Linked DNA regions of Danio rerio. The protein of the gene in region 2 binds, or shares a complex with, the protein of the main gene of each other region. Links are inferred from orthologs where the notes say so. Each region holds a gene or a part of one and is shown on either strand. Other genes may lie near its edges.

What was found.
Region 1: lsm4 (region 2) and lsm8 share a complex: the UniProt entries of both Homo sapiens proteins name them as parts of the precatalytic spliceosome. The link is inferred for Danio rerio from reciprocal best matches to the Homo sapiens genes LSM4 and LSM8.

Annotation. Positions count from the first base shown.
Region 1 is NC_133179.1:10,099,466-10,104,058, reverse strand, and holds lsm8 (LSM8 homolog, U6 small nuclear RNA associated), read right to left. Parts: upstream 3,097-4,593; 5' UTR 2,937-3,096; coding exon 2,906-2,936; intron 1,416-2,905; coding exon 1,375-1,415; intron 1,043-1,374; coding exon 915-1,042; intron 800-914; coding exon 709-799; 3' UTR 534-708; downstream 1-533. UniProt on the Homo sapiens protein: Plays a role in pre-mRNA splicing as component of the U4/U6-U5 tri-snRNP complex that is involved in spliceosome assembly, and as component of the precatalytic spliceosome (spliceosome B complex).
Region 2 is NC_133186.1:6,962,660-6,965,931, forward strand, and holds part of lsm4 (U6 snRNA-associated Sm-like protein LSm4), read right to left. Parts: intron 3,237-3,272; coding exon 3,138-3,236; intron 2,977-3,137; coding exon 2,775-2,976; intron 920-2,774; coding exon 839-919; exon of another isoform or gene 1-838. UniProt on the Homo sapiens protein: Plays a role in pre-mRNA splicing as component of the U4/U6-U5 tri-snRNP complex that is involved in spliceosome assembly, and as component of the precatalytic spliceosome (spliceosome B complex).

The DNA.
Region 1 (4,593 bases), on a different chromosome or scaffold from region 2:
AACATTTGCATAATTAAATATTCATTCCTCTGAATGTGAACAGAAATTTATATAATCTTTTATATTATTTATTATATATATATATATATATATATATATATATATATGTGTGTGTGTGTGTGTGTTTATTTTTAAATACATGATTATGTTATAATACAATATTGCACATTATTATATACAATTACTACATTTAAATAACTGTTACAAATTATTTATAATAATATACACTTATATTAATGTCTTTTTTCGTCATTTTTACGATACTGCAATGAGCTTTTCTTTGTGGGAAATAAGCTAAATCGTCATGAATGCAATAAAACAAAATGGGCTTTAAATGCTTTTCAATTTCTTCATGTAATACGGAAATTTCTTTTGACTTTTGGGTGATAAAATAGGCATTTTGGAGATGGACCTAATCTTACTTTTACTGTTAATTTATTACTTTTTTTGTTTTTGACTGAGAATTATCCAGAAAATGGATACTTACCAATATTTTCCCCTTTATACAAGTTTTTAAAAAATTTAAAATCTTGATTTATCACTTTTTGTTTTATTATTTCAACACCCGTAAAAAACAAAACAAACAAAAAACAAATATGCATTCAGTCTTTTTCAAGATTAAAAAAGCAGGTAATATTGCTGCTTATAGATGCCTGCAGATTTCCTAGGGAAAGTTTTCAACTGGATCAAAATGAAATTTTCTGTCCATCAATGCACCACAGAATTGAGTGGTTCTGCTCTTATGTTTCCAAGATCCAGCGCAGAATCGGTTTCTTCATCAATCTCACCGATCACAGCCCTTAAACACAAAATAATTTCCCATTTATGTCAACCAAATAAAAGAAAAAAATCATAAACCTTGCACTGTTCTGCACAACATAAACATAATTACAAGAAAGGAGTTTAATACTCACACATTATCTCCTCTGACAATATACAGTCCCAGAACCACCTGCTCGACCCCCTGTGAAGAGCTGAAGACCCGCTCGTGGCTTTCATCCAGGATGAGGTTGATTGCCTGATCAAAGCCTTTTAGCGTCCCCTAAAAACAGCACAAGTCAGTAAGCGATCTTCTTCATTTCTGCACACAGACAATGATTAATTGGTAAGTTCACCAAAAAACACAGATTTTAATATTAATTTATTCACACTCAGGCTATTCACAATCTAGGGGACTTTTCTCCTCAGTTAAACATAAAAGACATTTAAACAAAACAAAAATACAAATGAAAAATATGTGTCGGAGCTGTGAGTTACAAGTGATAATGTTTAGATTTTCCTAATACAGTCAAACACTCCCAAAGTGTCTTTGACTTGCACTTTATTAAACACAAAGGTGGATAACTCCCTTTAAAGTACACGAGGAAGACTCACCACGATCATTCTGCCATCCGAAGTGACAATAGCAACAGTCCCTTGAAAAAAATCACAGTCAAGGAAATTTCAAGCTCATTTTATGTATGCATGGTCACTCACTGCGTTTATTTGTTCTCTGGATTTGTGTTTATATAGTACACATAATGTGTGTTCAAAATCTCTATTAAGTATTTTATTCATTGACTGATTCATATTCTCTATCTATCTATCTATCTATCTATCTATCTATCTATCTATCTATCTATCTATCTATCTATCTATCTATCTATCTATCTATCTATCTACATGAATACAAATGGTCATGGTCAAGAAATTAAAACTTTTCTAGATTGTTTTACATATATAGATTATATTTATATACAGATTAACATGAATACGAACAATCAAATATACTTATTTTTTACGAAATATTTAAGAAATGAAAATGTTTCTAGATTGTTTTACATTTCTAAATTATATTTATTTATAGATTAACATGAATAAAAACAGTCAAATATGCTTACTTTTAACCAAAAATTAAGAAAAGTTTTCTAGATTGTTTTACATATATGTATTTTATCTATAGATTAACAAATTCAAACAGTCAAATAAACTTATTTTTACCGCAATTTTAAGAAATTAAAACGTTTCTAGGTTGTTTTACATAGATTATATTTATATATAGATTAACATAAATACAAAGGGTCATATATAATTACTTTTAACTAAAATTGAACAAATGAAAACTTTTTTTAGATTGTTGGATTGCATCTATATGTAGACTAACATAAATGCAAATGGTCAAATATACTTAATTTTATGCAAAATTTAAGAAATAAAAACTTTTCTACATTGTTTTACATATATGGATTACATCTATAAATAGATTAACATAAATAAAAATAATCAAATATACTTATTTTTACGAAATATTTCAGAAATTAAAACCTTTGTAGATTGTTTTGCATTTATAAATTAGATTATATGTATTTATAGATTAACATGAATGCAAACGGTCAAATATACTTATATCCAAAATGTAAATTTTTTTTTTTACTTTTCTAGATTGTTTTACATACATAAATTATATCTATATAGATTAACATGAATACAAACAGTCAAATATACTTATTTCTACCCGATATGCAAGATGTGAACACATTAATATGTAATATTTACAGTAAATAGTAATATTCCAGTTATATGATATGTCTTAATTAAATATTTGAAGACTCGTTTTCATTGGTCCAGAAAAAAAAACTCAAATATTTGACAAAAAACAGGCATCTATGAAGTTAATATCACATCCAGATAACCGATAATCATCTTGAACTGATCTATTTTGCTCAAGAAATGTATGTGCGTACATTAATATGCTATAACGTGAATTATAACGACGTATGATCATCAAAAGCTAATTCACTTGCTGGCGCGCCATATATATAAAGTTAGACATTTCACGCTCAAACACACACAATCAACAACAAAACACGGGGTATCGATCAACAACATCACCGCCGTGCTGTTCACGATGCGTATTAAAGGATACGGTGAATGTAACTCTCGAGAGCGGTGGACATCTTTTCTGCTGGTGCGTGTTTTTAAATCCTCCGGTGCTCGTTCGCTAGCTCCTACAACGAAAAGCATTCGTTCTTGAGCCGGAAGCGATAACGGAGAGACTCGAGTAGGCGATGACCGATTGAGCACAACTTCAGGCAGAACTAATGGAGTTGGAGCAACGAAAGCTGTCATGAGTGAATTAGTATTTATTTAATAAGCTTTAAATAACTAGTACGCGACAATAGAACACACATTTTAATGCCAGGGATGATAGAAGATAAATATAGTAAGAGTACAAATAATTAAACATTAATTAAGAAGCAAAACAAACACACGTACATAAAAATAAGCGTATAAATAATTAAATAGATTTCTTACAATTACACACGTTTACATCAATCAAAACTGTTAAAAATAGACCACAAATGGACAGTGCTAATGAAGTTAATTTTATAGTTTAAACAAATTAATGTGAAGTTTAGCCGTCGTGAGGGAGTGATGCGGTATTTGTCCAGCAGATGACGCGCTCTGGAGATTTCTGGTTTCTAAGGAAGAGAGCACAATACTGTTTCTAACGAGTAACTTTAGAGATTATAATCAGTTCTTGCTGAAAAGGCTAACTGTTTGAGGGTCAAAGTGGGGGTCGATGGAAACACTGGTGGTAATGATGACGACGGCACTTACACAAAAGTACAATCAATGGTTGTGGGATGATTTCAGACGCTAATTGTAATTGTACATCGCCATTATGGGAATTAATGCTGATTGAACTATATAAAAGTGCTGTAGTGGTTAAAAATAGTTGTTATACGGTGTTTTGCTACACACTAGCATGGAAAAAATAATTAAAACTTGTTAATATTCGTAAGGTACTGAATGTTTAATAAATTTGATGGAATTGTATGGTGGTTCTGGAATTACGTTGCTATTACATCAGAATCAGGGACTGACCTAACCAATGATGTAATGTAATGTGTATTTATATTATAGATCTTACACCAAAAGCGGTTCACAATCATGAGGGGGGTCTCTCCACACCACCACCAGTGTGCAGCATCACTTGATGATGCGACGGCAGCCACAGGACCACAGTGCCAGTGCGGACACCACACACCAGGTATTGGTGGAGAGACAGTGATAGAGCCAATTCGGTGGATGGGGATGATTGGGAGGCCAGGCCATGATGGGTAAGGGCCAATGGAGGGAATATGGCCAGGACACTAGGGTTACACCCCTACTCTTTACGAGAAGTGCCATGGGATTTTTATTGACCACAGAGAATCAAGACCTGGGTTTAACTTCTCATCTGAAAGATGAAGCAAGCAACCGCTTAGGACCCCAAGAAATTTGGGGGCCCTCAATAATTGCCCACACTGTAAAACGTTTCACATTGGTTAAACTTACAAACTCAAGTTCAGCAGCTGCCTTGAAAATGTGAGGCAACAACTTAGAGAGATTCTTTGTTTCAATGTAAGATGTTGAGTTTTAGTTAAATATATTGTAAAACTCAACATCTTAAGAATCTCTCCAAGTTGAGTTGACTCACATTTTCAAGGCAGCTGCTGAACTTGAGTTTGTAAGTTTAACCAAGTGAAACGTTTTTACAGAAGCGTAAATCATATTTTGAATGGTGATGGTGTAATAAATGAGATTTTAACGTAATTATACCATCTACAC
Region 2 (3,272 bases):
AAATGGTTTTGTTCCTTTTTTTTTTTTTTAGAGTGTATGTACACTTCAACTGTATAGCCACAGGCATATCAGCCTGCAGCCCAAGGCCGGTTACTCACTGAAACTAAGCAGAGCTGAGCCTGGTCAGTAATTGGATGGGAGACCTCATGGGAAAACTAGGTTACTGTTGTAGTTGTGTTAGTGTGATCAGCAGTGGGCGCTTAACCTGTGGTCTGTGTGTGTCCTAATGCCCCAGTATAGTGAAGGGAATACTATACTGTCAGTGGGCGCCGTCTTTCGGATGAGACATTCTCTGACTCTCTGTAGTGATTAAAAATCCCATGGCACTTCTTGTAAGGAGAAGAGGTGTAACCCTGATGTCCTAGCCAATTTCCCTCCATTGGCCTTTACCTATCATAGGCTCCCAAAAATCCCCATCTACCGAATTGGCTCTATCACTGTCTCTCCACTCCACTCCACCAATAGCTAGTGTGTGGTGAGCACACTGGCACCGTTGTCCTGTGGCTGCCGTCGCATCATCCAAGTAGATGCTGCACACTGGTGGTGGAGTGGAAAGACCCCCTTTAAGACTGTGAAGTGCTTTGGTTGCATGGCTATTCGCGATAAATGTGCTACATAAATACACATAACATTACGTCGCACGATAACATTGTCCACTTTTCTGTCTATGGAGGACGAGGGCGCTCTCAGATTTAGGATTTAGATTTTGGGTTCTGAAGATGAACAAATGTCTCATGTTTAAGGAAATGAGGGAGAGTAATTAAACACAGAATTGTCATTTTTAGGAGCCCATAATAAAAGGAGGATCTGTTTTATATCTACTGTTAGTTTATGACACCTTGTTGTTTTCCAGGCTTTTTGTCTTGTTGCTGTCCACGGCCAGATCCCTGCATGCCTCTGCCACGGCCACCAAAAACACCTGTCAAATAGAATGGGAATTTCTTTTTTTAATCTGTGTGTGTGTGTGTGTGTGTGTGTGTGTGTGTGTGTGTGTGCGCGCGTGTGTGTGTGTGCGTGTGTGGAGAGTTAAAATTGTCAGGGCAAGTGGAAAAAACTTTAAAGGGTCACGAAACACCAAAACACATTTTTTGAGCTGTTGACAGTGGTATATGTGTCCCACACTGCTAAAAACACTATTAGGACACCTATATTTCACTAAAAAATGTAAATTGGTTGTTTTTGCGTTATTTCAAGCAAATTCGTACTTCCTGTTTGAAACGAATTTTTGAAGCTGCGTCACGGCCATGACATAATAGCGTGTATTCCAGCGTGCAGACTGGGCGTCTGTGATAGAGTGTGTCTTATTACGTCTTACAGTGTGATGCATTAATGCATGAGCAAAGCTTGGTTCAAACCAATCAGCGCGCCCTATTGTGCAACTTCATTAATATTCATTACTATCACAGTGTTTTCAGGACAGAGACGCCACGTTGTGTTGGCAAAACAAGCGTGAAGTGTTTCTTTTATAGTTTGCTGCCATTAAGTTTCGTTTTCCTTTTCTCTCCCCTTAGTGTACGCAACGCTTGACAACAATAACTTACGTGTCTAAGGCGGATTATTGTTTACCTGAGAGCTGTTCTCATCTGCAAATGCTGAAATCCGGATTCGCTTGTAACGTTAGTATTCTCTTCATAATGACGCGGCTCTAGTTGCTGGTGATTGTCCTGTCTCTACAGATTTGGTAAGTGAGCGACCAGTGCTCTTTGTTTATTCAGTTTGTTCGTATCGAATTAAGTTAACTATTGCACTGAGTGCAAACATAGCACCGCATTTTGTGACCGGAATAACACACGTGGCTTTCTGACGCTACCTGCCGTGTGTATCTAAGTTTCTGGGAAATGCGGAGGGTTTTTTTCTCTCATTCGTCGTGCGGTATCAAACGTTGCATGAAAAATACACGCTTACAGCAGTTCCTCGAATCAAATATCACGTTTGTCGCGAGGGGCATGAATGAATTCCCTGAATGAAAGAGCCAAACTGCAGTTAAAGTCACCCATTTAATAATTTGGCAAATAATTCGACTACAGATGTCCATGTAGGTTAAACACCATCACTTTCTCATGTGTGTGTATTTTGACTGAAACTCGCGCGTGCCCAAATAGACACTCCCACACCATCCCACTTTAGTTCCTCCGACACTCCCCCCTAAACAGAGCTGGACACGCCCACTTTTCTGGCTTTTTCCAAAGTAGAGGTGAGAAAACCCTGCTGAAACGAGGTGGTTTCATGGCCCTTTAAGCCCAAAACTGCGTGTACACATTTAAAAAAATATACCAATGAGAGTAAAACTGTCAGCCCTCCTGTGAATTATTTATCCTTTTTCAAAGATTTCTCAAGTGACATTTAATGAAGCAAATCAATTTTCACAGTATGTCTGATAATATTTTTTTCTAGAGAAAGTCTGTTTTATTTCAGCTAGAATGAAAGCAGTTTTTTACCATTTTATTTTCATTATTTATTATCATATTATTAGCCCCCTTAAGCAATTAATTACCATTAATTACCCTAATCTGCCTAGTTCACCTAATCAAGCCTTTAAATGGCAGTTTAAGCTGATCACTAGCATCCTGAAAAAGATCTAATCAAATAATATTTACTGTCATCATGGCAAAGATAAAAGAAATGAGTTATTAGAAATGAGTTATTAAAACTATTGTTTAGAAATGTCCTGAAAAAAATCTCTCAGTAAACAGAACTTGGGGGAAAAGGAGGGCTATATATGTCTGGAATGATTATATGATATGATCTATTGTATGAATATAAAAGCATCAGACCTCTGCCAGGTCCGCCACCTCTTCCAGGTCCACCTCCTCTGCCCTTTCCTTGTGGCTTATTCTGCTGCATGCCACCCCGGCCACGGCCCTTTGACACCACTTCCTCTTTCACCATATCTATAATTTCATCAGGGATTCGCAAGTATTTAATGGTGCTTCCTCTTATGTAGCATTCTGGCATCCTCCAAAACTTATCTCCATCCTGCAAATCAGAGCAAGCAGAAAAAACAGCCGTCACATTTCAGCAAGACAAATAAATAACCTGCAGATTTGTTTAAATAAAACAAACAAGTGTTTTGCTTAATTTTGTAAGGAATCAATAGTCTCCCAAAGACGTTTTCATCTGAATGAAGTCGTATTTACCCGTGAAGTGCAAATAACTTCTCTCAAGTTTATATTCATCCAGTTGTCGCAGCTGACCAGATGGCCGTTGTATGTCTCGCCATTCTTTAACTCAACCAGCTGAAAAGAAAAGCAGATTAACTTAAAAGCTCAATT